4 linked regions of the Elephas maximus indicus genome follow. The protein of the gene in region 2 interacts with the protein of the main gene of each other region in a pairwise test. Links are inferred from orthologs where the notes say so. Each region holds a gene or a part of one and is shown on either strand. Other genes may lie near its edges. The genes, in order: WIPF1, ABI2, STAM2 and NUP62.

Region 1 (7,941 bases), about 29 Mb from region 2:
GAAGAAAGGCCTGGGGTCTACTCCCAAAAATTAGACAGTGAAAACCCTATGGACCACGATGGTCTGATCTACAACCAATCATGAGGATGGGGCAGGACCAGGCAGTTCTGTTCTGTTCTGCATGGGGTCACCATGATTCAGGGCTGACTCAATAAAAAAAAAAAAAATGGCAACTGATAATCACAAGAAATAAAATGCACTTTTGTTTATTATTAACTTTCTGATGTGCACTGTAGATGCCACATGTCTTAGTTACCTAGTGCTGCTGTAACAGAAATACCACAAGTGAGTGGCTTTAACAAACAAAAATTTATCTTCTCACAGTTTTGAAGACTAGAAGTCTGAATTTAGGGCACCAGCTCTAGGGGAAGGCTTGCTCTTCTCTGTCAGCTCTGGAGGAAGGTCCTTGTCTCTTCTGAGCTTCTGCTCCTGGGCAATCTTCATGTGGTTTGGCATCTCTTCTCCCGTCTCCACTTCTTTCCCTTGCTTGTTTAATCTCTTTTATATCTCAAAAGAGATTGACTCAAAACACGCTCTACACCAATCCTGCCTTGTTAACATAACAAAGACAACCCATTCCCAAATGGGATTACAACCATAGGCATAGAGGTTAGGATTTACAGCACATGTTTTGGGGGGACACAATTCAACCCAGAACACCACATATGTACCTAAAATTACAACAGCCAGGAACACCTTGGAACACCAAAGACAGTGACACAAACCCAGTATGTAATACTGCCCACAAAAATGGGTTCGTCCCTTACCAGAGCAACTGAGACAATAAATACCACCTTCTCTTCACTCCCACCACCTTTTAGCTCATTAACACTCTTAAGTCTTGGTGCCCCACACTGTATGGTGTCTGGGTGGCCTCGTGCTGGCACTTTTTGCTGTTTTACACCCATTATCTCATTTGTTCCTCACACCCTTTAATGGAGGAAGAGCAAAGGTTATCAACCCCACTTTTTGGAAGAGATAATTGAGGCTCAACTTGCATGATATGCCTAGGAGCACCAGGGAATGGTTGAGCACACAGGAGACAATTTGTGAAATGAACAAACAAGTGAAAGAAGACATCAATCCCCCCCATCCCCACACCAAGCTGGAAGTGATCTCATTCTCTCTAAACGTCCCAGGATTAGATCTGTACTTTGCTTACAAATTTCTTTCCTCTATATCACAGTCTGAAAGTTCGTGTGCTTCTCCGGGAGCCAAAATTATTATGGCAGGGGTTGGGTAGATCCAGGGGAGGAAGACAATTTTTACTAACACCTGCAGGTTCTACTCTGCACACTTCCATTCAACATATAACACAGAGGTAGCTGGGGATTTGGAGAATAACATCACACCCCGTCCCTGAGAAACTCAACCTTGTGGGGATGACAGGCAGGCAAATACACGGCAACAGTGGGAGGCAGCGTAAGGAGGGATTAAGATGCAAGGTGCTGATAGCCTGCTCAGGGTTCTCTCACCTCAAAAAGTCAAAGGGTGATTTCCAAAATGGTAGCACAACATTTTTTTTTTTTTTAGCACGACATTGTGAGAGTATTAAATGCCACTGATTTGTACATTTTAAAATAGTTAATTTAATGTTATGTAAAATTTACCACAATTTTTTAAATCCGTTTAAAAAAAAGATTTACGAAGTGAAATAGGAAATTTTTAGGGAGTTATTTTATCCGTTATAGAAATGGGTGCTTTCGAGGTGGGCAAAAAAAAAAAAAAAAAGCCAACGACTGAAAATGAAGCTACAGTATTGTTTTCTGGTTTGGGAAACCGGTAAAAGAAAACCCAGTCAGGGTGGGGAATCTGTCCTGGCTCTGCAGCTGCCACTAGCCTGAGTCTGAGGATGAGGCGTCCAGTGAAGATCCGGGGGTGGGATGGGGGGGGGCGGGCGAACTGAGACGCGCTTTCAGAAAAAGAGACCCAAGTCCACCCAGTCACTGCTGACAACTCGAGAGGCTTCCCAGGGAACTCAGGGCAATGAGCCCGTGGTCCCAGAGGGACTATTCATGGAATAAAAAGTAGGACCAAAAATTCCTCACACAGACACACCCTTTGTTAATCTCAAAGAGTTCAAAGTCTACCCCCGACCGAGGCTAGCTGGTTTCTCTTAAACCTGCAACTCTTTTTAACTGTTATTTAAAAAAAAAAAAAAAAAGGAAGAAGAAAAGGATGTTAATATCGAGAGGTACGGGAGCGAGACTGAGGTGAAGCTGTCCCGAGGGTTCGGCACAGGCCTGGCGAAAACTATGCCAGGAACTGGAAGCGCCTCCAGTCAACCGACACATAGATGGTGCGCGTCTGCGCCGACCCGCGGAGCCGGCTGTCCCAGAGCACCCGGCGGGAGGCCAGTTTGGGAGCCGAGCGCCGAGAAGCCGCGATTCCCACCGCGAGGACGACGGCTCCAGCGCGTGAACTGGCCCCGGGGACGCCCGAAAGTCCCCGCCCGCCCGGGCGGGGTGCAGATGCGGGTCCTGCGCATCCCGGCTAAGTAACTGCTGCGGCCGAGGTCCGCGGGCTCAGGGGGCGCCCCGCCCGCGGTACCACGTCTGGAGCCCTCCTCCCCGGACAACCCGCCGGGCCTGCAGGAGGCGCCGGCCGGGAATGGCGCCCCTCCCTCCCGAGGCCGGGAGACTGAGCGGGCCCCGTGCGCCCGCCGCCCGCAGGGACCCCGCCTCGACGGCCCGCGCCCCCGCCCCGCGCCACTGCGTGCCGCACGGCGCTACAGAGCCCCGCCGTCGAGCCGGCCCGCCCCGGCGGCCGCGGGGTCCCCCTGGGGCTATCCGAGACCCCGGAACCCCGCCCCCGGCGGTGGCGGCGCGTCCTTACCGCGCAGCGGCTCCGGGCGGCTCCCCTGCCCCGCAGCGCGCCGGGCATTTTTTCCGGGAAACCTCTCCCCCGGTCCGCGAGGGCTGAGCCAGGCGGGAGGAAAAGCGCTCAGCGCCCGGAGGCTGCGACCATCCGGGAACTTCGCCGTGAAGTAAACCCTCCCCCTCGGCTCCCCGCCACCCCCCGGCGGGCCTGCCACATGTGGACGCGCGCGAGGCCGCCGCCGCGGGCCTTGGCCTTGTGCTGGGGGCGGACCCCCTCCCGGCCTGGTGCTGAGGCTCTGCGTCCGCAGCCTCGGTTCCCACAGGATCGTGGCGGGAACGGGTGGGTAGGAGGCCAGGGCTCTTGCTTTCCCCAGCCCCCTTTCCTGCTCGGTGAAGGGACGAGACTGTGGGGTCCGGGACAAGGGTTTGCCGAGAAGCGAGACCGGGAAGGAGAGTCCGATCACGGTGCCCTTTTCTCCAAATACCGGCCTCATCTCTGAGCTTCCGCTGCTGCTGGGGGTCCCTCTTCCCCCACCTGCAGGGAAAGCTTTTCCCATCACCTTCCCCTGTTCACAAAAGAGAGGGTCCAGTTTTGAGACATCTTAAACTTCTTTTTAAAAATGGTGTAAAAGCTGTTCCTTCCTGCCCTCCCCCTCTGGTGGGTCACAGGCGTGGCACCCAAAGAGGCCCAAGGTCCACAGGCATCTCCTCCCCTCAACTATGTGGGGACATAGTGCTATTTTTTCTTTGGAAAGATCCGCCTATCTGAAGGGGAATCTTTCAGTCGTTTTGCAGTTAGTGGGGCTGGATTTATCATCAGCCACCCACATCCTCAAATATGACCTTCCTGTGATCAACAGTAAACAGAGAAATCTGAGGCCAGATCTTGCAAACCCATACTTACAAGACTCTGACTGGCCGTGAAGGCTGCCACCCCCAGACCCCAAAGAGAAGTTAACACTAAGACGACGACACAGTAGAATGTGTGCATTAGAAGGACAACAAAAAGTTATTATCAATATAATAACCATTTAATCATATAGTTAAAATGCCAAGGCTGTGTATCCCCTTGAATAAAAGCAGAAAAGGCAGGGATATCTGCACTTGAGACCTGCTATCCTAGGCTGAGGAGGTTGTTTCTCCTTGACTCCATGCTTTCTCTGCTCCCTCACTAGTCCCATGTGCACACTTGTATCTGCACATGCTTTTAACAGATACAGTAACCCTTCTGGGAAGATTTAATAACATGGCTAAACTCTTCCCATGACAGATTTTTTCCCTAAATGTGCCCATCATTTTAAGATTCATTATATATTTGCCTTTCTTTTTATACCATTTCTAAGGTAACATACACCTATTATGTTTTATATAAAAAGAAGGCAAGTGATTCCAAATATCAATATATCAAGAGTTCCAGATTTGAAAATAAATCAGTGGCACTTAATCACAGTGTGGCCTGCAAGTTAAGCCCAGGAGCTGCCTGGTTTCCCTTCTAGCTCTCTGACATGGATTGAATTGTGTCCCCCCAAAATATCTGTCAACTGTGCTAGGTCTTGATTCCCTTGTATGATTCCATGATTGTCTACCATTTTATCATCTGATGTGATTTTCCTATGTGTTGTAAATCCTGTCACTATGATGTAATAAAATGGATTAGTGGCAGTTATATTGATGAGATATGCAGGATTAGATAGTGTCTTAAGCCATTCTCTTTTGAGATATAAGAGAGAAAAGTAAGCAGAGACACATGGGGACCTCATACCCATGCCAGGAGCAGAACACGTCCTTTGGACCTGAGGTTCCTGCACTGAGATGCTCCCAGACCAAGGGAACATTGATGACAAGGACCTTCCTCCAGAGCTGACAGAGAGAAAGCCTTCCCCTGGAGCTGATGACCTGAATTTGGACTTGTAGCCTACTGGACAGTGAGAGAATAAATTTCCCTTTGTTAAAGACATCCATTTGTGGTGTATCTATTAGAGCAGCACTAGATGACTAAGATACTCTCTAAACCTCAATTTCTGCTCCAGTAAAATAGAGACGGTAGTTCTACCTCCTAGGATTGTTGTAAGGATTAAATGGGATAATTCTTCCAAAAATGAGCAGAGTAGTGGCACACAAGTCGAACAGGGGTCTTTGTTTATCTTTGATTTTCCAATGTCCAGCCAAGCTACTGGCACTTTTTAACAGATTGATTAAACATTTGTTGGGTCAAGAACTCTCTTGGGTTTATGCCTTTCAGGGATCCATATTATGAGTTTTTGTATTAGTGTACGTAGAAGAAAATGAGGAAGGTAAAATACATGCTCCTCCCCCATAATTTCATTATCAAAAGCCAAAAATAAATGGTGTTCTGAATTGTCCATTATTTTAAATCATTGCCGTGGGTTAAGGAAATTAAGTTTACTTAAAGAATTTGTTCTTTGCGGTTGGTCCCTAAAGATAATCTATAAAACCTTGGAATCTTCCCAGTGATTGAAGTTTCTTTTATCTGTAAGGCTACAGATTACACCTGAGAGTTTATGCTAGTGAGGTGACTCTTGGGTAGGGATTGGCCAGGCCAGAAAGACTCACCATGAGGTATCAGCCTGACATCAGGGTGGATTCAAACCACCAATCTTTTGGCTAGTAGTCAAGTGCTTAACTGTTTGCACCACCTAGGGACTCCATGGGCACTTAATTACATCAGCAAAGTCCCTTCATAGCAGCACCTAGATTAGTATTTGAGTGAGTACCTGAGAGGAAAAAAAAAAGGCCTGTTGCCATTGAGTCGATTCTGACTCATAGCATCCTTGTAGGACAGAGTAGAACTGCCCCATAGAGTTTCCAAGGAGTGCCTGGTGGATTCAAACTGCCGACCTTCTTGGTTAGCAGCTGTAGCTCTTAACCACTATGTCACCAGGGTTTCAAAAACCAAACTCATTGCCATCAAGTCAATTCTGATTCATAGCAACCCTACATACCTATAGAGTTGCTATGAGTCCGAATTGACTTGACGGCGAGGGGATCACCCGAGATAAGTGTGCATAAACCAGGGATCAGGAATCTTGGAGCCATCTTAGAAGTCTGCCTATTACAGATATCAATATTTATCTTCCTACTTCCCTAAATATGTATCTACCTCATTCTTTTTAATAGGTACATATTATTTCACTGCATGGTGTATCATGATTTAACCAAATCCCCTATTAGCAGGCGTATGTGTTACTTCCAGTTATTTGCCTTTAAAAAAATGCACAATAATCATTCATTCTCATAAATCTCTGTGCATCTATGTACTTCTATAAATAAGTATTCTAGAAGTAAAATTGCAAGGTAAAAGGGTTTGCGCCTTTTGATAGATATTACCAAGTTGCTGTCCAAAATGTCAGTACCAAGTTATACTTCCAATGACAGTGTATGAGGATTAAATACCTAATTCTTGTAAATAATTAAACTCTCTTCGTAGACAGTTTCATCAGGAGGCTATGAGTGTAGTGCTTAAACACATGGGCTCTCAGTCATGTCACCTGGCTACCAATCCTGGCTTTTTCATTTCTTAACTGTGTGACCTGGACAGGTAGCTAAGCCTTAGTTTCTGCATCTGCAAAATGAGGATTGTAATAGTACCTCCTTGCGTTAGTTATCTGTTGCCATGTGTTATGGATAGAATTGTGTCCTCCCCCCCAAAAGATATGTTGAAGACCAGACTCCTGTACCTGTGAATATAACCCTATTTGGAAATAGGTGGTCACACGGGAGTAGGATTCTGAATCCTAATCTCCTTTGAATGGTGTCTTATGAAAACAGCAGAGCAGACACAGAGAGATACTATAAGGGTAAATGCAAATTGAAGAGAAAAAAATAAGTATACATAATATTCCCTGATGCAAAAAAGACAAGACCTCCCCTTCCCTGTTTTTTTGAGCATTTACTTTAGATGTCTTGTAGTTGTAAATTCTTTGCCTCTTGAGAAGTCCTCCTGAATGGCTAGATAATCTTCCTGCCAGTTTTACAACCCCGGGATGTTTCCTGAGGGAGCTGGGAGCCATCTTTTTCAAATGTAATTAGTAAGGAAGTAGCTCCTCTGGCCCTCAAGTTCTGTGGGAGGGTAAAAGCCTAACTTTGGTGGGCTTCAAGCTCTAAAACTACCTTCTGTTATAAAGATATCAACAGCTTATTTTTCCTTTGGCCATTAACAAACGCTGGTGGCTACCCTTATAACCAGGTGAATCTGAGATAAACGGTGTTGTCAAGCTTCTTATCCTTTATCTGGAGAGCACGTATGTAATGGGTTGCATCTGCTTGCCTATATAAGGTTCAGGTTCCTTTCTGTCTTTGCAATCTCTTTAGCAGACTGCCACTGTGTTCTGGTTTAGGGTTTATGCAATAAGAAAACTGTTTTCTTTCTCTTCTGCTTTTGTGGAGAGGTTTTCTGGTTTGGGAGCAGATTTTGTTTTTAATTATTTTCCCCAACAATACACAGAAGAGGGTGGCCATGTGACGATGGAGGCAGATGAATCTACACGCCTAGGAACACCAAGGATTGCAGACAGCTGCTATCGACTTGAGGGCACTGGATGGGCTAGACCTGGTGTCGCAGTGGTTAAGCACTCAGCTACGAACCGAAAGTTCAGCAGTTTGAACCCACCATCTACTCCATGGGAGAAAGACATGGCAGTTTGCTTCCATAAAGTTTTACAGTCTCAGAAACCCTATGTGGCAATTCTTCCCTGTCCTATAGGGTCACTATGAGTCAGAATCAACAGCATGGGTTTGGTTTTCTTATCAGGCGAGAAGCCAGGAGAGAGATATAGGTAGAACAGTTGCTCTTTCAGGGCCTCAGAAGGAATCAACACGTCCTTTACCTTCATTTGGACTTCTAGCCCCCAGGCCCATGAGATAATAAATTTCTGTTCTTTAAAGCCACCCACTTGTGGTATTTTTGTTACAGCAGCACAAGGAAACTAAGACACTGTGTAATGTAACAAATAATTCCAAAATTTGTGGCTTAAAACCACACATTTATTAGCTCATTGTTTCTGTGGCTCAGGAATCCTGGCGCAGCTTTGTTGTGTGCCGTCGAGTCTATTCTGACTCACAGCAACCCTATACGGGAGAGTAGAACCCCATAGAGTTTTCT
Region 2 (7,049 bases):
GCCAGCCAAATGTGCTGCTGGATCAGCACAAATTCACCGCAACATGTTCTATTTATCAACTATACGACAAACAAACCAAGTAAGAGCTGTCATTGTGAGAGAGGGCGTCAATAATATAGCTACTGAATCCTAAAACAGATGGTAATCTAAGAAGTAAAAGTGTAAAGTCTACTTCAAATGCTAAACTGTAGAAATTAGGGATTTTAAAAACCCAAATCCATTTCTATCACATCAATATTTATACACTGGGTTTAAAAACACCACCACACTAATTTTTGAGTCCTATTGCTAAGACAGATAATGGTGGCAGTAATGGTCCTCTTTTTCAGCTACAAAAAATATATAAAAAGAAGACAATCACTGATGCCTGTACCCTTTTGGCTTTATTAATCCATTTACTTTTATCTTTATGTAGCAATCGTAAGAGATACAAATCTGTTTCTTTTATTACTTACTGGTGATAACCACACCCAATCACTTTTCCATCCTCAATTTCTCTTTTGACTACAACTCTTTCCCATAATACGGAGCACAAGGCAATGCAATTAACACTTCAATCCTTTAGGTTTTGCCTTTCCTACAGATTGTGAATTTCTGAGACTAGCATAGCTTCTGCCAGTTTTTCTTTCCACCTGCAGTCTATTACAGAGTATAAATCACCAAATCAAAATGCAGCCCTGCTGGTGCAGTGGTTAAAAGCTATGGCTGCTAACCAAAACGTCAAAGTTCAAATCCACCAGCCGCTCCTTGGAAACCCTACTGGGCAATTCTACTCTGTCCCATTGGTTCACAGAACTACCCCAGCCGTCACAGACCTATATGGTATTAATTTGCTCACACATCAGCCTCTCCTAAAAACTAGACTATAAAACTCTGTAGGCACTAAGTATAAGACCCCTCGGTAGCACAAGCTGTTTGTGCTCCACTACTAACCTAAACATTGGTAGTCTGAGCCCACCCAATGGTGTTTCAAAAAAACTCCTGGTGATATGCTTCAGTAAAGATGATCGCCAAGAAAACCCTATGCAGCAGTTCTACCCTGTAATACATGAGGTCGTCGTAAGTGTGAACCAACTAGATGGCAAAGGATCTTTTTTAGGCACTCCGTGGGCACAGTGCTGAGCACAAAGACATTCAAATACATTTAGTGAAAAAATGAGAAACTAAACTTTTGAATCTCTCTGACCTCACTCAGTATCAGTGAAGTACCCTGCCAATACAGACATTTGTATTTTTTGTATTAATCTTTGACCCAAGACACAGCCTTCCTTTTCCAATTAGACATATTTTCAACTGCCTCGTTGGAGGGAAAAAGCTTGTATTATGCCTGGTTCATTCTCCAACAGAAATATTCCCTACAACATAAAACAAAGTTCAGTATATGTCTAATCAAGTAAAATCTCACACTACCACCATTAACCATACCCTCCTTACAAAACTTATGAACTTATATATTTTAACACTTGGGTTTGTTTTTTAATTTACTCTAAGACTTAAGAATGCTTCCCAGTATAGCTGATGTTAAGAAAGATGCCTGGAGAGATGGAGGTGGAAGCAAGAAAAAAAGGTCAGAGTGAAGAAACAATTTAACAGTTTCCATTTCCACCTTTATCCCAAGAGAATTTAAACGGGAAGGAAAAAAAAAATGGACGCAGAACCTGTAATTCAGAATAAATCATCAAGGAAACAAAAGATGCTGAATTTGCAAACTGTGCGTTTTATCCTGCTAGTCTTTCAAATAATTTTTAAAGGACTTTTTTTTTTCCCAAATCCAGAATCTTCTGCTTTATCCTGGAGCAGCTGGATCTCATCTCACCCAATAGCCACTCTCCTCCACCCCCCCATACACATACATACATACACACACATGCCACACACGCACCGTTACCACTATGAGTCCCTGTGCCAAACCAACAATCACGGGAATACTAAACCATGAGGTTCATTTTCCTAATTCTCTCTAAAAAAACAATCACAATCCTTTTTCTCTCAGGAAAATTACCAATCTAACGGGACGGGGGGGCGGGGGGGAGAGCAGCTCATTATCACGCAGCTTCCCTTTCCCATAAGGAGAAAAATGGCAATAATTTCCAACAAGAAACAACTGCTCTTCTACCGTATCCCCGTTAGACCTAAAGGGGGAAAATGGTCTTCTGAGGCATTCACATGAATAGAAAACCGAAGTATTTTACTTTGCAGCAACACAGCCCCTTAAAAATCCTCCAGTGCTTGAGGGTTGGGGGTGACCTATCATTCCCCTCCACAGCCTCCCTACGTGGGGGAGCAGAATTTTGGCAAATAGAAAATGCCACTCTCCGCCTCCCCTGCCATCCCGAACACAGACCGGCACCGAGTGCGGGGGCGGATGAGGGCAGGAGAAGCGAGGAGGCGGGGACACGACACACGCACCGCGCCGAGGACTGATTCACGGTTTTTAAAAATGTTTTAAAAGCCACAATCTCCTCCTGCCGAGGATTCCCACCCACTCTCCATCCCCTGTCCCAGTCTTCACCCTGCACCCCCCCGTCAGGGGCTCAGCCCGGCCAGCTCTCCCGCGGCGGCCTCCGCCCGCTCCCGACGACCCCGGGAACGCGGCCCCCTCCCAGGGGGTCCTCCGCACGCCCCTCACCGCCGAGGCCCGACGGCCCCGCCCGGGGGATGCGTCGCACCTGGATGTAGTTGTTCTCGCAGTAATCGGCCACCCGTTCCAGATTCGTGTAACTGTCGAAGAGGGCCCGGCGGCCCCCCGGGATTTCCTCCTCCAGCAGCATCTGCAGCTCCGCCATCTTCACATCCTCCTCTCACCTCATACAGACCGCAGAAGTGGCCGCGGCGGCAGCGCCAGGGAAACCCAAGGCTGGCAGCGGAGGAGCACAGGCGGCAGCGGCAACCCGCCGGAGCGAGAAACACCCCCCGCGCGCGACAGGGGAGGGGGCGGCGTGGACGGGGGCGGGGCGCGAGCCGACGGACCGCGAGAACGGTCACCGCGGCGACGGCCGGCCGGGCACGCGCACGCGCGCTCCCCTCCCTCCGCCCCCGGGAGCCCGAAAAAGATTCCCACCCTCGGCCGCACCGCCTGCCCCTCCCCCACTTCCGGCGTCTCCTAGCGACGGCGGGGTGGGGGCCGGGATACGCGCGGGAGCCGGGCGCGCGGTTAACCCTTCGGCCCCCCGCTAGTTCCGCTGCCGGGGAAGTCCGCTCGGACGCCTTTGTTAGCCGGTCAAGTAGGCGCTATCCTGCTCCGCTGTCATCCCGCCGGCGTCTTCCACGACTTTCGGCGTTATTCTCACCCTGGGGGCCGGATCCCTGTGCAGATCGAGGCTTTTCTCTGCTGCTGATTGAAGGGCGAGGAGTCCATCCTCCGCGAAAGATCACATCTTCTCAGGGCTGGGATCAAACTCACAAAACTTCCGTGCAGCTTTAAGTGCCGCCTCAGTTTTCATTTTTCTCTTCATCTTAAAGCTCATCCGTTTTGGTACGGATAAGTAAATTCCAGCTTCTTCATCCCAGATCTCCTGTACTCTCGGTTTTACTGCACTTACTTGACCACCAGAGCTGTCTTCCTTTGCCCGTCCCCTGGGGCTCAGCTTTTTTTTTTTTTTTTTTGCCCTAAGTAAAAGTTTACAATTCAAGTCAGTTTCTCCTACAAAAACTTATACGCACATTGCTGTGTGACCCTAGTTGCTCTCCCTACTGTGTGACAGCACACGGAGCTCAGCTTTTTGTGCTTGCCCTCTTCCATGGTTCTCTTCCTCACTGACAGCCTGTTCTGTCATCTCCCTGGTTCTGTGAACGTCGCTGTCTTTTTCTTCCAGAATTCAGTACTTCAAATTCTGAAAACGGTTTTGCTGGTACTAATTTTCTTCCTTACAGGGCTGTTACATGGATAAAATAAAAGTTTATGTGAAAGCACCTTGAAAAGCGAAGTGCTACAAAAATTGTAGATAATTTTGATTTTGCAGAGTTGTTACATCACTCTGTTCTTCTTCTCCAGGTATTCAACTTATATATATCTTTTTTTCCCTAAATCTAAGTAGCCTTCAGAATGTCATTCTTCAATAACTAAAACTCCTGACAACTGCTGAGATATTAAGTCTGTGACTTTTATTTGTACTGGGGAAAGTCAAGGTTGACTCCAGGTGTACCATTTTAGGCATTTGTAGTTTAGAACAGGATCCATTATTTCAGCTCTTGTTCTTGCTCTTTTGATCTCTTGGCCCTCCTACAGTCATTTTTCTTTCTCGTTGAACTGTAAGAAGCCCACAAAATCGAGACCAAACCCAGTGCCGTGGAGTGGATTCTGACTCATAGTGACCCTATAGGGCAGAGTAGAACTGCCCCATAGAGTTTCCAAGGAGCACCTGGCGGATTTGAACTGACGATCCTGGGGTTACCAGCTGTAGCACTTAACCACTACGCCACCAGGGTTTCCAAGAAGCCTACAAGGTGGGTTAAATTATAGGCAGACTTTTCCCTTACTACACTTATTCCCACCTAGCATCCTTTCAAATAAAAAAAAAAATTTTTTTAACTGATTATCAATTAGCCCAACAAACAGATTTCCCTGAGGGATGATTCATCACCCTGGGAATCACTGGGAGAGCAAGGCAGCCCACTCTAAGATTCTAACTCAGCAGCCCTACAAGGAGAGAGTAGAACTGCCCCATAGGGCTTCCAAGGAGCAGCTGGTGTATACTTCTTCTAATTTGTGACTTCTTTGAACCTTAGTTTTCTTAGCTGAAAAAAACAAACTCAGGTCAGTAGTTACCAAATTTGAGCATGCATAAGAATCACCTAGAAAGCTTGTTAAAACACAGATTGATGGGCTCCACCCCCAGAATTTCTGATCATTTGGCCTGGCCCAGTAATTTATATTTTTAACAAGTCCACTGGAAGTTCCTGCGTGGTGCAAATGGTTAAAGTACTCAGCTACTCAGTGAGAGGTTGGAGGTTCATATCCACCCAGAAAGGCCAACGATCTACTTCAAAAAAATCAGCCATTGAAAACCTCATGGGGCACAGTTCTTTGACATACGTGCAGTCACCATGAGTTAGAATTAGCTTGACAGCAGCTAGTATAAGTTCCCAGGTGATGCCAATGAACCCAGGAGATGCCAATGAAACTGCCCTTCTCCATCTGAAGGTCTATGATTCTAGTTGCTGGCAGCGGGGAATTTCCACCAAGAATGGAAATCAAATCTCCCACATAATCAGTTAGCAGCAGAGCTCATTAACCATTTGCACCATCCAGGAACTCATCTTTTCTCATTTAACTGGTTAAGTAACTATTTTTTGCTAACCACAAAGCTACTATTTAAAAACAAGCACTGCTAGGTTCAGGCTCAAAACAGGCCAAACAAAAATCAAATTATAGTATAACCATTATACACGGAATGACTTCCTCTGATCTTGGAAAACTCAGAATGTTCGTTTATTCATTCATCAAGTAAATTTAGCATGGATGCATTATGGAGAAAGGACCAGGAAAGTATTGCTAAAGGCAGACTCTAGGGGCAATCCTGGTAAGAAATGATGGTGATCTTCAGGGAGGGTGATGAAAGAAGTGGGTGGAATAAGAGAAATATTTGAGGTAAAATCATAAGGGGTTAGTGAATGATTCCATGTGGAAGCTAAAGGATAAATCCATGCTGGTAGACAGGTGTCTGGCTTGGGCAACTGAGTAGTTGGTAGTTCCATTTACATTTAAATTACATGATATTCCACAAAACTGTAAAAACTTTTTCCAGTTTACCTTCATTCTCTGTTTCAATCATTATCATCAATAACCCTGGCAAAAAGGACACTATTTTAGGTTCTGTGTTGCTATTGTACTACTCTTGCTAAGTTATTTAATTAATAAACAAAATCCATAAATTGTATATCGTTTTGGCCCTCTCAAGTACTAAAGACTAACAGTTGTAGAGAAAGAGAAAAAAAGCAGGTAACTTGCTTAATTCCTACTATGTGCCAGGATTAATTCAACATTTTACATAAATTAACTCTTAAATATTAAAAAGTAGGTTTTATTATCCCCATATTTTACAGTCCCAAAAAATGAGGATTAAAGGAGCCCTGGTGGTGCAGTGGTTAAGCACACGGCTGCTAACAGAAAGGTCAGCAGTTCAAACACACCAGCCGCTCCTTGGAAAAAAGATGGGGCAATCTGCTTCCGTAAAATTACAGCTTTGGAAATTCTTTGGGGCAGTTCTACACTGTCCTATAGGGTTGCTATGGGGCTGAATTGACTGAGGGCACAAAACAACAAAAGAAGTTAGAAATTTACCAAACCTGCTTAAAAGTCATGGAGTTAGCGGTTCCACACTGGTTTGATAATTTAAAACGTTTTTCTTTTGCATTGTAACATGACAAATCAAACTTCTCTTTATTTTAACTGTAAAGATCAAAGGCATACTTAGATACTTGAAGCCATTCATTATTTTTTTTCTTTTCTTTTTAGGGCTTAACAGAACCCATTTCTTCAATTGCTCCTCATCGTATATTATAGAATTATGGCATGTTCAAGTTGGAGGGTACCTTAGAAAAATCTAGGTCCTACCCCAACATTTTACCAATGAGGAAATATGAAACTCAGAAAAGTTAAGTGATTGCCTAAGGCTACATGGCTAGTAAATGGGAGAGTGGAACAAAGGAAGTTTTAGAAACAAATCTTATTTTAGAGCTCTTTCATGACATTTTAAAGTAATACACTCACAAACACAATGAAATTTAACACAATTCCTTTTTATGTAATTAAGTTCTCTGTTAGATATTACACAGTACTCAGGGGAAATGCAGAGTTTTCATTCAAACAATTGCATGATTAATTGAGTTCCCATTCTTACCCCAAATAAGAAAAATCATAATCAGTGATATTTTCATATTATTTGTACACATTTCTAGGTCCACGGGTGGTCCAAATCGTTTGCCCTTGGCTACTAACTGAAAGGTTGATGGTTCAAATCCACCCAGTGGCACCACAGAAGAAATGCCTGGTGATCTACTTTCATAACGTTACAGCCATTGAAAGCCCTATGGCGCTCAGTTCTGCT
Region 3 (6,838 bases), about 53 Mb from region 2:
ATGAGTGACCTCCTAGACATCTTGGCCCATCACTGCCCAGACCAAGAGATAAGTTTCAGTTCAGGGTCTGGGAAAAGCATCTCTTACCCACACAAATAATGTCAGAAAAGACTGCTCACTCTCCAGGTAAGACTCTGCGCCTACCAAAGGCATGCAGTGTCACCTTTAAAGCCCTTAACTATAAACAACCATACCATACATATAGCAAGAAGCAGCTGCTTCCTGCAGGCGCTGTCAAGAAAGGGGGCACAGGGATAGTGTCAAACACCTTTATAGGGAAAGCTCCTACCTGAAGGTTCTTGTCTTCCCTTCAAGGAGGAGGACCTTTTTAAATAAAGGGAGAATTTAAAGCATTTCAGTGCATTTCTAATACTATACTTAACAGAATATATTAAGATTACCTTTAACTCTTTTTTAGGGGGAGGTATATGTTAGACTGTGAGTTCCTTGAGGGCAGGACTCAGTCTAGTCACTTATTTTTGTGACCCCAGAACTCAACACGATGCCTGATGCACAGTAATCATTCAACACACGTTTGCTGAATGAACAGTGAAAAAGGTATAGCAAAAAAAAAAAAAAAAACACAAAGGTGATAAAAAAAAAAAATCTGACTGAATCAGAGAGATGAAAAAATAAGTACACTGTAAAACAACACTCAGGTCAAATAATGACTTGCTTTAATTACAACTATTCCAAATTAAAAGAAGCCTGAAGATCTGAAAAATGTAACATATTTCTCTTCTATGAAAAACGCTTGAGGCCAGTTTGAACATCTTAGTATTTCATTCCACTTTTTCTATTAATTCCATTCTTTTTTGTCTAAAAGAAGTTATAGGTGAAGCCTCAATCAAACTTGCTTTTTCAGATACTGAATTCAGTCATACTTGCGCTAACAAACACTTGGAGCTTTTGTTGATGGTACTCTCCACGAAATAACCTATATATTAAAACAGCAGTGGTTTTTATACGGACAGCAGTACCTCAGTTACCGCACCAGTACTAAGCTGCGTTCCACTAAACTATGCAGGGACACAGAAGCCACAAGGGGAACAGGTAGACCTCCTCAGGCTACTTCTCCCAGAGAAGTTTTCTATTAGAAAACAATCAGCTTCTAGGAAAGAGCGCCACAGCTTTTTGTTTTAAAATAATTTTCAACTCTATTTTGCCCTTTCCACTGCTGTATTAAGATAAAATGAAAATCCTTACAATAGCAATAAAATGCACAGGTTTCACAAAATGTACAGGTGTTCCAAATGCAGAGCCTGTGCTCCTCAACGTTATGCTTCCTAGATTGGCACCAGTCAACTAACTGTGTTCAAATCTCAAGAAAAAAAGGTGAATGAAATACAGGAATGCATATTTGAAGATTATCTAAGGGTCAAGGTGTAATTATAAATATTCTTAATTCTATCAGAACAGAAGGGACCTACACATCTTATTTGAATCTCATATATTTGACTTTTGAATGTGTTTGGGGATCACATCATATGCCAAACTAGAGAACTCTCAACAGTCTCCCCGTAATTTGAAATTATGACTATGAAGCAGGTGGGTTACTGCTATGATGTGTTTATTCTGTGACTCGGGCCATTTTCTATCATACTTTTTCATTTCACCAAAACCTAAAGCTCTACCTAGCATTCTGTTAACTAAGAAAAAAAATTTTTTTTTTTAACTACTGCCCCCAAAATGTTTTCTTTACCATTCTTTTTTTTTATTCTTACCGTAACACCAAAGATAAGGTCCTATTTCCAGTCCATCTTTTTCTCATTCCAAGTCAATAAAAGACCAGTGTTCTTACGACCAGAACAAATAAAGTATCAGTTGTTTTGAACCGTTTTGAGACCCTAAGATTGGTATTTACCTTTTCAGATTGTAAGACAAGACATCTCCTAGCACCTGCGTCAACATCATCGGAGAATAGGGAGTAACGCCTCCAGCAATTGTAAATAAATCGTGAAGCTGCCCTATCAGGGCTTGCCTCCATTTGTACATTAGCAAAGTGAGTTCTTCCTAATAAATGGGGGCAAGTCGAGATCTCTAGTGTTGGGCTGTCTTATCGATGGTTGCACCATCTCCTTAAAAGAAGGGGTTGGGAGAAATAGATAGGGGTTTCACTAGGTCTGGAGCAAGCAAGAAGTTTGTATCATCACTCCACAATTGCTTAATTAGTCCCGCCTCCGGCCAACCGGTGACTCTTCCTTATTCCTGCGCTTGGCGAGGGGAACGGCTCTTTTTCGGGGTCCTCAACCTCAGGCTGGAGCCCTGGTAGCGCAGTGGTTAAGCATTCGGCTGCTAACCAAAAGCTCAGCAGTTCGAAGCCACCAGTCGCTCCTTGGAAACCCTATAAGGAAATTCTACTCTGTCCTGTAGAATTGCTATGAGTCGGAATCGACTAGACGGCGAAGGGGGAGGGGGGCAAACTCAGGTAGGCAGAGGACAAGCCCCAGGCAGCTGGCGATGAGCCAAGGCTGCCCCCCAAAAAACTCGGGCTCCGAGGCTGCGGCGGCGGCAGCGCCGCCCCTTACCTCCCTTCGCTGGTCTGCCCAGTCCCTAGAGTCGCCCCCGCCCACTTTGTAGCTGGACAAACTGCAGTCCGAAGCCCGGGCCCAGCACTCACCCACGTCTTGTTCGAAAGGGTTGGCAGTGAACAGAGGCATCTCGCCGACGCCCGAGCGCTAGCCGCAACGGTCCAGCTGAAGCTTGGCAGGGGCTCCCCGCTCGCTGACCCGGGGCCGCGGCTTCCTAGACTGCTCCGCTGGGGCCGCCGTCCCAGCACTTCCGCCACCACACCTGCCCTGCTCCCGCCTGACAGACCTGCTGCTCTTCCGCACTTGGCGCCGGGATCCCCTCCTGAGGTGAGGCGCCGCTGGCCGCAGGCATCTTTTCAGTGCCCCTGTTGTCGCCACCCACCATGAGAAATGGCAACTCCTGATTTACGGTTTCCTAGGGGTCAGGCGGTCGCCATAGCCACCCCTCCATAGTTAGGACCCGGGCGAGCCACGGAGCGGGGGACCTTCAGGGCCGGAAGTTGTCTCTCCTGGAACTGGGCGATGCCAGAGGCCCGGAAGCTGCAGTTCCGGCGGCGGCGCGGCAGGGGGCGAGATCCCCCGAGATTTTCTGCGCGGGAATCAGGCTCTGAAAACCGCGTTCCTTACCTTAGTTTGAGGCCTGGTGATTCAGTGCTTAAGAGTTCGGTTGCTGACCGAAAGGTTGGCGATTTGAACCCATCAGCCACTCTACGGTAGAAAAATGTGGCAGTCTGCTTCTGTAAGATTGTGGGTTTGGTTTGGGGGGTCCGTTTAGTTTAGTTCGTTCCTGGGCGGCGGGATTAGTCCCTCACGGCGGTGGCCCCATGGCTGCGTTTGCGCTGCTTTCCAAATGGAGCCGCCAGCAAAGAGGTAGCTTTGAGATTCTGCGGAGGGCCTGGCTTGCTCTCGGCCTCTTACAGCGTTGCATCTCACTCTGCGCCTGAACCCTGCCGTAATAACCGCCACGGGAATCGAAATAACTGTGGTTCTGTGGGGACTCCTAACTTCACTTTACGTCATGTTCTCAGCATGAAAACACTGTGCTCAGCTCTGGCACTACCAAAACGAAATGCGGCACAATCCCTGCCTTCGAGTTGCTGACAGTTACTATATGACAATATATGACGATCCTGATAGATAAAAGAAAGGGTCACACTGAAATTTCCTTTAGGAGCCAACCAGGTATTTAAATGAATGTAGAAGTACAAGCACCCGTTCTGGTTAGTTTCCATTCCCCGTTGTACAGGTAATCTGATAAATGTCGGCGGATACCTTTTGGAAAGGATTGGAGGAATATAGTAGCTGGGGCGCCCTGATGGTGCAGTGGTTAAGAGCCGGGCTGCTAACCAAAAGGACGGTAGTTCAAATCCACCAGCTGCTCCTTGGAAACCCTGTGGGGCAGTTCTGCCCTGTCCTACAGGGTCACTAGGAGTCAGAATCCCCTGGATGGCAATGGATTTTATTTGATTTATACTTGCTGTGGCATTACAGGATTTTTTCTCAAGGGGATCCAGCCTCCTGTTCAAATATTGGGCCCTGGGTCAGAGAGCTAGCTCAGGTTTGGGTGGCTAAGAAATTTTGTATTTTCCATTGTGGCAGTTAACATATGGCACCCATTCTTGTCTTTATTTTTTCCCTTGTTGGGTTGTGGGAGGAGGTAATCATCAAGCAATACCCACACTGGCTGCTGTCTATTTAACATCAGGAACACTGTGGCTTATTAATCATCCATAGACTCTTACGGGTCAGGGCCCCCTAGTTGCCATTCAGGCTTTGCTGTAACTTACTGTTATGTCCATTTTGCCTCTGATGGTAGTTTTGCCACCCAGCCTCTGTGATTCTGGTACCTTATCATGCAGCTAAGTAGCAGCCAACTCAACCCTCAACCCCGACCTACAAAGAACAGCTACCGTTGAGCTTAATAATGCCAGTGCTCCACTTATACCTCATAGCAACCTTATGAACAACAGAACAAAAAACTGCCTGGTCTTGAGCCATCCTCACAATCGTTGCTGTGTTTGAGCCCATTGTTGCAGCCATTATGTCAGTCCATCTCATTGAAGATCTTCCTCTTTTCAGTGACCCTCTACTTTACCAAGCATGATGTCCTTCTCCAAGGACTGGTCCGTCTTGATAACATGTCCAAAGTATGTGAGACAACGTGTCAACATCCTCGCTTCTAAAAATCATTCTAGCTGTACTTTTTGCAAGACAGATTTGATTATTCTTCAGTATTTTTCGCTAACACCATAATTCAAAGGCATCAATTCTTTGGTCTTTCATATTTGTTGTCCAACTTTTGCATGAATATGAGGCGATTGTAAGGGGTCAGGTGCTTGTCCTTGTCTTAGTTATCTAGTACTGCTCTAACAGAAAAACAAGTGGATGTTTTTAACAAAGAGAAATTTATTCTCTCAAAGTCTGGTAGGCTACAAGTCCAAATTCAGGGCATCACCTCCAGGGGAAGACTTTCTCTGTAGGCTCTGGAAGAAGATCCCTGTCATCACTCTTCCCTTGGTCTAGGAGCTTCTCTGCACAGGAACCTCAGGTCCAAGGGACACGCTCTGCTCCTGGTGCTGCTTCCTTGGTTGTATGAGGTCCCCCGTCTCTGCTCACCTCTGTCTTTTATATCTCAAAAGAGATTGGCTTAAGACACTATCTAATCTCGTAGATCTCATCAATATAACTGCCACTAATCCATCTCATTACATCTTAGTCATAGGAATAACAACACATAGCGAAATCACATCAGATGACAAAATGGTAGACAATCATATAATACTGGAAATCATGACCTAGCCAAGTTGACAGATATTTTTGGAGGACACGGTTCAATCCATGACAGCCTTCAAAGTGACATCTTTGCTTTTTAGCACATTAAAGAGGTCTTTTGCAGCAGATTTGCCCAATGTAATGTGTCATTTGATTTCTTGACTGCTGCTTCCATGGGCATTGATTGTGGATCCAAGTAAAATGAAATTCTTGACAACTTCAATATTTTCTCTGTTTGTCATGGTGCTGCTTATTGGTCCAGTTGTGAGGATTTTTGTTTTATGTTCAGGTGTGGATCCATACTGAAAACTATAGCCTTTGATGTTCCTCAGTAAGTGCTTCTCAAATTGTCTTTGCTTTCAGCAAGCAAGGTTGAGTCATCTACGTATGATAGGCTGTTAACGAGTCTTCCTCCAGTCCTGGTGCCAAGTTCTTCATATAGTAGTCCAGTTTCTTGGAATATTTGCACAGCCCTGACATGCACCTTTCCTGGCTTTAAAACATGCAGTATCCCTTTGTTCTGTTCAAACAACTGCCTCTTGATCTATGCACAGTTTCTCATGAGAACAACTAAGTGTTCTGGAATTCCGGTTCGTCACAATGTTATCCATAACTTGTTATGATCCACATTTGAGTGCCTTTGCATAGTCAATAAAACCTTGGTAAACATCTTTCTGGTATGGTCTGCTTTCAGCTGGAATCCATCTGACTTCAGCAATGATATTCCTCATTTTACACCTCTTCTGAATCCAGCCTGAATTTCTGGCAGTTCCCTGTGGATGTATTGCTGCAACCGTTTTTTAATTATCTTCAGCAAAATTGTACTTGCCCGTGATATTAAATATTGTGCGATATTTTCTGCCTTCTGTTGGATCACCTTCCTTTGGAATGGGAGCAAATGTGGATCTCTTCCAGTTGTTTGGCCGGATAGCTATGTTCAAAATTTCTTGGCATAGACCAGTGGACACCTCTAGTGCTGCATCTGTTTGTTGAAACATCTCAATTGATATTCCATCAGTTTCTGGAGCCTTGTTTTTTGCCGGTGCCTTCAGTGTAGCTTGGACTTCTTCCTTGACTACCATCAATTCTTGAACATATGCTACCTCCTGAAATGGTCGAACATTGACCAATTCTTTTTGCTACAGGGGATCTGTGTATTCTTTCTGTTTGCTTTTGATATTTCCTGTGTCATTCAATATTTTCCCCATAGAATTCTTAAGTATTGCAACTCGAGGCTTGAAATTTTTCCTCACTTCTTTCAGCTTGAGAAATGCTGAGCGTGTTCTTCCCTTTTGGTTTTCTAACTCCAGGTCTTTGCACATTTGATTATATTATTTTACTTTGCCTTTTGTCTACCCTTTGAAATCTTCTGTTCAGCTCTTTTACTTCATCGTTTCTTCCACTTGGCTTTAGCTACTCTCCATTCAAGAGCAAGTTTCAGAGTCTCTTCTGACACTCTTTCTGGTCTTTTTTTTCTTTCCTGTCTTTTTAGTGACCTTTTGCTTTCTTCACGTATGATATCCTTCAGAGCTTTC
Region 4 (7,809 bases), on a different chromosome or scaffold from region 2:
AATCGGGCGGAATCCAACAACTCTACCAGACAAGGACATAAGGCCCAGAGAGAGAAAACGGCATGGGAGGCTGGGATGTCGGCCACCATGGTCCCTGCCCCAATTCCTTCCCAGTCAGCAGGTGCCCCACAAACTAGTAACAGGATTCCCATTACCAGTTATTTAAAAAATACCCTACCTGGGGGCCCTCTCAAAAACCCATGTTGTTGTGTGCCACAGAATTGATTCTGACTCATAGCAACCCTACAGGACAGAGTAGAACTGTCCCATAGGGTTTCCTAGGCTGTAATCTTTACAGGAGTAGATTGCTGGGTCTTTCCTCCAACAGAATGGCTGGTGGGTTGGAACTGCCAATCTTTTCGTTAGCAGCTGAGCACTCAACCATTGTGCTACCAGGGGTCTTTCAAAAATCCATAGTCCCAGTCTAACCACAAGACAAACCCAAAGTGAAGTGCATTCCAGAAAACAGCCAACCAGCCCTCTTCAAATCTGACCAGATCATCAAAGCCAAGGAATGTCTGAGCAGTGGCTACAGCCCAGAGGCAGCCACGTGTGATGTGGTGCCTTGGAGGGGATCCTGGGACAGAACAAGGCCATGCAGGGACAAGGAATGAAATCAGGTAAGTGTGGCGTTTAGTTTGTTGTAATGTGTCAATGCTGGTTCCAGCACTGTGACAACTGTACCTTCCTCTTGTAAGTTGTTAACAGCGGGGAAAACTGAATGTAGGGTACACAGAAACGCTACACTTTCTCTGTAACTTTTCGGTAAATCTAAACTTTTACTAAAATAGTTTATTTACCTAGTTTCCATATATATAACCCAGAGGGCCTTCTCAGAAGAAGACTGTAGGTGGGGGATAGAGTGAGAAAATAGACCTCAACAGGGAAGGTGCCAAAGGGCTGGGCCAGGGCTCAATCTTGCCAGCAGCAGGTTTTCAGCTGGAGTTGGGGCTTCCCTTTTCTGGTAGTCTGGACAGGGCCTCCCCAGGCTAACAGCCTGCCCGACAGTCAACCCTAATCCCTGCCACCTGCTACTGTTCAAATATCTACACTGAGACATGGAGGGGAGTCCATCCTTAAGCCTCACACCAAAGCTCTAAGGCCATTATGGTCTGAAAGGATCCACTGCTGGCAATGGAAACAGAACATATGCATCTCAGTATTAACAGCAAGAACAGTAATAGTAACAACCCTGAGCAGCAGCCACTATGTGCCAAGCACTACTATAAAGGACAGGCAGAGATTAATTCATTTAATCCTCATTGCCCTAAGAGGCACATGCTATTATTGGCCACGTTCCACCGCAAGGGAAGTCAAGGCATGGGGAAATTAGGGCCACACGGCTAGTCTGGGTTTGAACCCAGACAATCTGGCTCCAGGGTCTGAGCTCTTAAAGTGCTGCCCTATACTGCCTAAGTAATAGCGTAGCCCCTATGAATCCCAGGAACTACAGGGCTAGTGCTCAAATCTGGCTCTAACGGAAGGTGGTCAGATCTCAAGATAGGCTAGCCCAGCTAGCCTCAAAACCCACCTTCCCCGGGTTTTGATTGTTTTGTAGCTGCCCCAAAAGGGATGAGACTGAACTCCATGTGGATGAACGACGAGTGGAAAAGAGAGGGACCTTCTGCAGCACAGCAAAGAGCCATCTCCACCTGGGCCAGCTGGGGGTGATGCGCCCTCTCTTTTAATGAACGGAAGGGTAAAAACCAAAGGAAACCCGATGTCGTCAAGTGGATTCGGACTTATAGTGACCCCGGCTGGAAGACAGTTCCCTGATGCTGAGTGGCAGCTGAGACAAAAAACTGTAAAACCATCGGGAGAAGGGCAGGGGCAGGAGAAAGAACTAGCTGACGAGGGCTGAAGAAGGTGGGCAGGGGCTGTTGAAAAGAGAAAAAGCTGGAGAGGGGGCCATGAGGCCTGAATCCCTCCACCTGGAAGTGGCTGAGCATCTACCACTTGGGAAGGGGAGGGAGGGGATGGCTGGAAATGAACACCAGGGAGGACTGAGACACACAAAAATGACCTCTTAACAGGTGTTGGGTGGTCCAGTGCCTGGGGTTCTGCCAGAAGGGGTGAGACTGGGCACCAGAGTTCCTTTTAATAACAAGGCACCGTTTACCAGGCAAGTATGAGCCCGGTTCTGTGCTTAGGGTTTCGAAGACATCACCTTATTTAACTCTGACAAACAACCCTACCACATGGACACATGAGGCACTGAAAACTTCAGTTATTTGCCCAAGGCCACCCTGGCCGCTCTGTGACTTGAACGAAGGCCATCTGACTCTGACTCAAGCAAGATCTCAAACCTACAAGGCTTTTCAGGCCCGGGCAGCAGCTGAGGGATGAATGGACGGAGAGATTTGGGTGTGGTTGGCAGGAAATTCTTTCATGAAGGGGGGAAGGGAACAGAGAAATGACCACGTGCGAGTCTGAGGGAGGAGAGGCCGGGGTCGGGCTCCAGAGTCAGACAGGAGAGGGCCCGATCCCCAGAAACACGAGCGAGTCTGATCACCAGATCACAGAGAGGAGGAGACTAGACCCCCGGTTCTGAGGGAGGGAGGGGTCTTACCCCCGGGTCAGAAGCAGGAGGGCGCCGGACGCCCGGGTGAGAGGGAGGAGGGGATCCGATCCTCAGATGAGATGGAAGAGGGGGTCCGAACCCCGGGTGAAAGGGAGGAGGGCTCCGGGCCCGCCTCCCGGTTAGGGCCGCACAGGGGCGGAGCGCGGAAGGATCCGGACGGACTGTGCTGCGCCACCTGCGGTATATCTGTCCCCAGTCCCCGGGGCCGCCTCATTCCCCGTCCTCAGATCACGGTTTCCTCACACTAGCGCGACGCCGCCACCGCCCGCGTAGCCCTGGCCATGGCCCTGTAGCCGCGACCCCTCCGTGCCCCCCGGCCCGTCTCCGCGCTCACCGCACCTGCGCTATCCGCTCTTGCCTTCTTTCTTCAGCCGAGGCCTCCGCTGCCTCCCCTTTCTGCCGCCATGGAGTGAGTAACCGCTCGCCCCTCCCTCTCCAACCGCCTTTCCCGCCCTTTCGCTGCGCGCGGCCCTCAAGGCCTGACCGGGGGTTGGGTAGGGAGAAGTGATTGGGGAATCTTGGTTGCGCAGGCGCAGAAGCGGGGGGGCGCCTGTCGGCGCCCATCGGAGCATGCGCACTCGGTCCGAGGTGGGGGGGCAGGGTTCTTCCTGATTGTTTACGCTAAGGGAACGCGTGCGGTTACTGCCGCGCACTAGCTCCCACAGAGTTCCCTCCCCCTCCCCCGGAAACGAGTCTAGCCGTACGCTGTTGGTCATGCGCACCAGCCCACCAGAGCCCGTAATTGTGCGGAAAGGTCGGGGCGTACGCCGCCGCATATGCGCACTGACCCCCAAGAGGGCGGGGAGGGGGGGAATGCATGAGAACACAATTTACACCACCTGGATGACAGATCATGCGCTTTAGCCCTCGGGGAGACGGCGACTTGTGGAAGGGTGGGGGTGGAAGACATTTTCCACAACCTTTCCCCCGCCCTCCTTTCTCCACACTGCGGTGGCGCACAGCGTAGCTTCACTCGCTTTCAGCAGGCATCTGCTGGGGCGGGGCCTAGTTTAGATTGACAGGGAAGAAGGCGGGGCTTAGGGCGAGGAACACAGGTTTCGTGAGGGGCGGGCCAACACGTTGTGGGAAAGGGCGGGGCCAGGCGAGGAGGGGTTTCGTCTGGAGAAAGGCGGGGCCTATAGGGACTCAGGAGGAGTGGAGCTTGGAGGGCACGGGGGCAGGCGGGGAGTGGGGGTTCACTACTAAATTTAAGCGAAGAGTGGAGTCTAAGCACATAGCATTGATGAAGGAACAAAACATGGGGGAATTCCCCTGGGAACTGATTTGAGATGGAATCTAGGGATGGGGCGGAGCCTAAAGGAAACATTTTTGGGGAAGGGGCGTGGCTAGAAGAAAATTCCCCTGGGATTCAGGTTTTTTAATGAAGAAGAGTGTCAAGGGGTGGATGGGAGAGGCCTAAGGAGAATTCCCTTGGGAGTGTGGGGGGCTCAGGGTTTAGAATTCCGAGAGGGGGGAACCTGTTAGCAATGGGGGTATGGCTTCCCGGTGCCTTTGGCTGGTGGCGGTCTGGCTGCTGACTCTGCTCCCTTTGTCTCCAACGTGTAGGTCCTCCGGTTTCGCCTTGGTGCCTGCCTTAGTCCATCTGAGCAACCTCCCAGCTGTTGGTGCTGCCTCCTTCGTTGCCATCCGTGCCCAGCGCCTCTTTTGCAGCCATGTCACTCCTGGCGACCCTGGGGCTGGAGCTGGACAGGACCCTGCTCCCAGCTAGCGGGCTGGGCTGGCTCGTAGACTATGGGAAACTCCCCCTGGCCCCTGCCCCCCTGGGCCCCTATGAGGTCCTTGGGGGAGCCCTGGAGGGCGGGCTTCCAGGGGGGGGAGAGCCCCTGGCAGGTAAGGGCAGGTGGAGAATGGAGGTGGATGAGCTGGGGGGAAGTGGGGGAGAGGGAGAAGGAAGAATTAATTTATTCATTGATTCTGTAAATACAATGCGTCAGGCACTGTTTTAGCTGCTGAGGATAGAGCCAGGAACAAGACTGACATGATTCCTGCCTTCCCAGAACTCACATTCTTGTGGGGAGACAGACAACAGTCAAGTAAAACGAAGATGTATTGGGACTAAGTAGGAAGCACTTAGTGACTGAGCTAGAAAATATCAAAGGGGACCTAGTTTTAGAGTGGGTAGCCAGGATACCTTGTCCAAGAAGGTAACATTAAGCTGTGGCCTGAAGAATGGGAAGGAACGAGCTATCAAAAGGCCCAAGGGAAGAGCATTTCAGGTGAAGGAACAGCATATGCAGAGACCCTGAGACAGGAATTGTTTTAGTCATTACTATATCCCAAATGCTTGACACATTGTAGGTTTTCAGTAATTAATGAATTAAAGTTGAAGCACGGTGTGTGTGTATGTGTGTGTGATGTCATCTAGTTGGTGTTTTAAGGACAAACTAGAGAGTAGATTAGAGGAACCGTAGAAAAAAGTAAAGAGGATGTTGGATTGGTTGAAGAAAAGGTTGGTTGATGGATGGTTGGGTGACTGGTTGGCAGATTGGTTCTTTTGTTGGCTGACTGGTTTTTTGGCTGTTTGACTGGTTGATTGATTAGTTGGCTGACTGACTGATTCATTGGTTGGTTGACTGGTTTGTGGGATGGTTGTCTGGCTGGTCTACAGGTGGTTTGGTTGACTGGTTGACTGCTTCACTGATTGGTTGATGGCTTGGTTTACTGGCTCATTGATTGATTTACTGGTTGGTTGGTTGATTGGTCAAATTGTTGGCTGATTGTTCATTGGTTGCTTGACTGACTTGTTGGCTTGTTGACTGGTTTGATGATTTGTTGATTGGTTGGTTGTTTTACTGAATGAATGGGATGAATGAGTACCCAATTGGATGGAGGACCAGGAACTCAGATGGAACTTTATGTCCCTTCTCCAATTCCCTAGGAGACGGCTTCTCTGACTGGATGACTGAGCGGGTTGACTTCACAGCCCTCCTTCCTCTGGAGCCTCCCTTTCCCCCTGGTGCCCTTCCCCCACCTTCCCCGCCCCCACCTGATCTGGAAGCCATGGCCTCCCTCCTCAAGAAGGAGCTGGAGCAGATGGAAGACTTCTTTCTTGATGCCCCACTCCTCCCACCACCCTCCCCTCCTCCGCCACCCCCACAAGTTCCTCCTCTCCCCCTCCCCACCTTAGACCTCCCCCAGCCCCCTGCCCTGGATACCCTCGACTTGCTGGCCATCTACTGCCGCAGCGAGACTGGGCAGGGGGATGCTGTGGGGTTGGCACCCCTGCCCCCACCACAGCAGCCCCATCCTCCCCCACCTCAGCCCTCTCGCCCAGCCCCGTACCCCAACCCTGCCACCACCCGAGGGGACCGCAAGCAGAAGAAGAGAGACCAAAACAAGTCAGCAGCTCTGAGGTACCGCCAGAGGAAGCGGGCAGAGGGCGAGGCCCTGGAGGGCGAGTGCCAGGGGCTGGAGGCTCGGAACCGGGAGCTGAGGGAAAGGGCTGAGTCGGTGGAGCGGGAGATCCAGTACGTCAAGGATCTGCTCATCGAAGTGTATAAGGCTCGAAGCCAGAGGACACGCAACAGCTAGATGGGCAGGGGCTTTGGCCTGTAGGGGGCACTGGTATTCAGCTCTGGGTCACTTCCGTTTCTGTGGCTGAGGTGGGACCCCTTCATCATCCCTCTACCTCCAGCTTCATTCTACACCCTTCCCTCCTTTATTTTTATCCTTGTCTCCTTTCTAGCCCATTTCTGAATTTGGTCCCCTACTCCATCCTCAGAACTTTGGAACGTTTGGCCTTAGTTAACATCTCCATCCCTCAAGTATCAGCTGAGGAACTGAGAGCTACAGGGAATTCAGGGAGCAGATCAGCGCTTGGAAATAGGGCCTCTTGAGTCCCAAATCAGTGCTTTCTTGCAAGTTGTTCTCGGTGCGGGGTGGAGTGGTCCTGGCTGGAACCTAGAGGTGGGGCCAGGAAGCTATGCAGAATTACTATGCCAATGAGAACAGGGACTCTGGATAGGTAAGTCAGGGAGCGCTTCAAGAAAAAGCAAAAAAACCAAGCCAAGTGACCTTGGGGAGAACTACTTTTGGGGAGAGAGTCCAGAGGTGGCCAAGTTCACAGAGCAGGTGAATATACAGGCAGTGGGGAGGAAGGGGCAGGGTGGGGAATGGCCATAGTTGGTGACTGGGTGTTCAATTTTAGCTCTGGGAGGAAATCAGTGTTTTGTGAAGGTGTTGGGGGATGGGGCTGCATCTAGGTGAGGGAGGGCGGGGAGTGATCCTTTGGGGGTTTGTGAACAAAAATAAAATGACTTTCCTCTTGGTCTCCATGTCTTATCTTTGAGAGGGGAAGTTGGGGAGTAGCTGTATCCACAGCTGATACAATGAACCTCTTTTTAGATTCAGCTAATTTATTAATTAGATAGAAAGTGAAAGAAAGAACAGCCAAAGGTGCCAGCTTCCCTCAGTCCTTGTCTCATACAACAAAAAGGATGACTCCAAAACAAAAGGGGCTGATGGCTGCAATGTGAGTTGTGGGATGCTCTCTTGCTGAGGAGCCAGTTTTCTTATGCAGACCTCTTGGGAGAAATAGGTAAGTTGGAGATGGGCTTGCAGCCCCTCCTTAAAAGCCTCCCATTCTCTTGTCATCAAGAAGACCTAACTGTCATGTAGAGCTCTAGCTGCAAGAGAGTCTGGACAACACACGTGGTTAGCTTTCTAAGCCTTCTTAATATATGGAGTGTGTAATGGAAATTGAGAGAACCAACCAAATAACCAATCAAACTGTCAACCAACCAATCAACCTGTCAACAAATCAGTCAGTGAAGCAGTCAACCAATCAATCAGTAAGTAAACTAGCCAATGAATGAAGCAGTCAGTCAACTAATCGATGAGCTAGTCAACCAAACAACCAACAAACCAGCCAACCAACGAAAGAACGAGTCAACCAACTTGTCAACAAAGGTGCAGTCAATACCATATTTTGCTAATGCATCCATATATTTGCAATAAAAATAAAAAACTATACATATGGTAGCCAAAATAGCCAACCACAGATGTCTACATCCTAATTCCTGGAGCCTGTGAATATAATACCTTACATGGGAAAAGGGACTTTGCAGATGTTATTAAGGATCTTGAGATGGGGAGATTATGCTAGATTATCTGGGTGGGCTAATGTAGTCACAAGGGTCCTTATAAGGGAAAGAGGGAGGTGGGGGGGGGTCAGAGATTTAAAGAGGCTGCACTGCTGGCTGAAAATG

The links.
Region 1: the proteins of ABI2 (region 2) and WIPF1 interact in binary tests that used the Homo sapiens proteins (3 or more experiments, as listed by UniProt). The link is inferred for Elephas maximus indicus from reciprocal best matches to the Homo sapiens genes ABI2 and WIPF1.
Region 3: the proteins of ABI2 (region 2) and STAM2 interact in binary tests that used the Homo sapiens proteins (3 or more experiments, as listed by UniProt). The link is inferred for Elephas maximus indicus from reciprocal best matches to the Homo sapiens genes ABI2 and STAM2.
Region 4: the proteins of ABI2 (region 2) and NUP62 interact in binary tests that used the Homo sapiens proteins (3 or more experiments, as listed by UniProt). The link is inferred for Elephas maximus indicus from reciprocal best matches to the Homo sapiens genes ABI2 and NUP62.

Annotation. Positions count from the first base shown.
Region 1 is NC_064824.1:72,796,490-72,804,430, forward strand, and holds the start of WIPF1 (WAS/WASL-interacting protein family member 1), read right to left. Parts: upstream 3,004-7,941; 5' UTR 2,836-3,003; intron 1-2,835. UniProt on the Homo sapiens protein: Plays a role in the reorganization of the actin cytoskeleton. Contributes with NCK1 and GRB2 in the recruitment and activation of WASL.
Region 2 is NC_064824.1:101,915,896-101,922,944, reverse strand, and holds the start of ABI2 (abl interactor 2), read right to left. Parts: upstream 3,022-7,049; 5' UTR 2,787-3,021; coding exon 2,670-2,786; intron 1-2,669. UniProt on the Homo sapiens protein: Regulator of actin cytoskeleton dynamics underlying cell motility and adhesion. Functions as a component of the WAVE complex, which activates actin nucleating machinery Arp2/3 to drive lamellipodia formation.
Region 3 is NC_064824.1:49,378,235-49,385,072, forward strand, and holds the start of STAM2 (signal transducing adapter molecule 2), read right to left. Parts: upstream 3,013-6,838; 5' UTR 2,661-3,012; coding exon 2,621-2,660; intron 1-2,620.
Region 4 is NC_064829.1:100,371,309-100,379,117, forward strand, and holds the start of NUP62 (nuclear pore glycoprotein p62), read right to left. Parts: upstream 3,010-7,809; 5' UTR 2,921-3,009; exon of another isoform or gene 2,901-2,920; intron 1-2,900. Other genes in the region: ATF5 (cyclic AMP-dependent transcription factor ATF-5), read left to right, coding at 4,255-4,432, 5,481-6,133. UniProt on the Homo sapiens protein: Essential component of the nuclear pore complex. The N-terminal is probably involved in nucleocytoplasmic transport.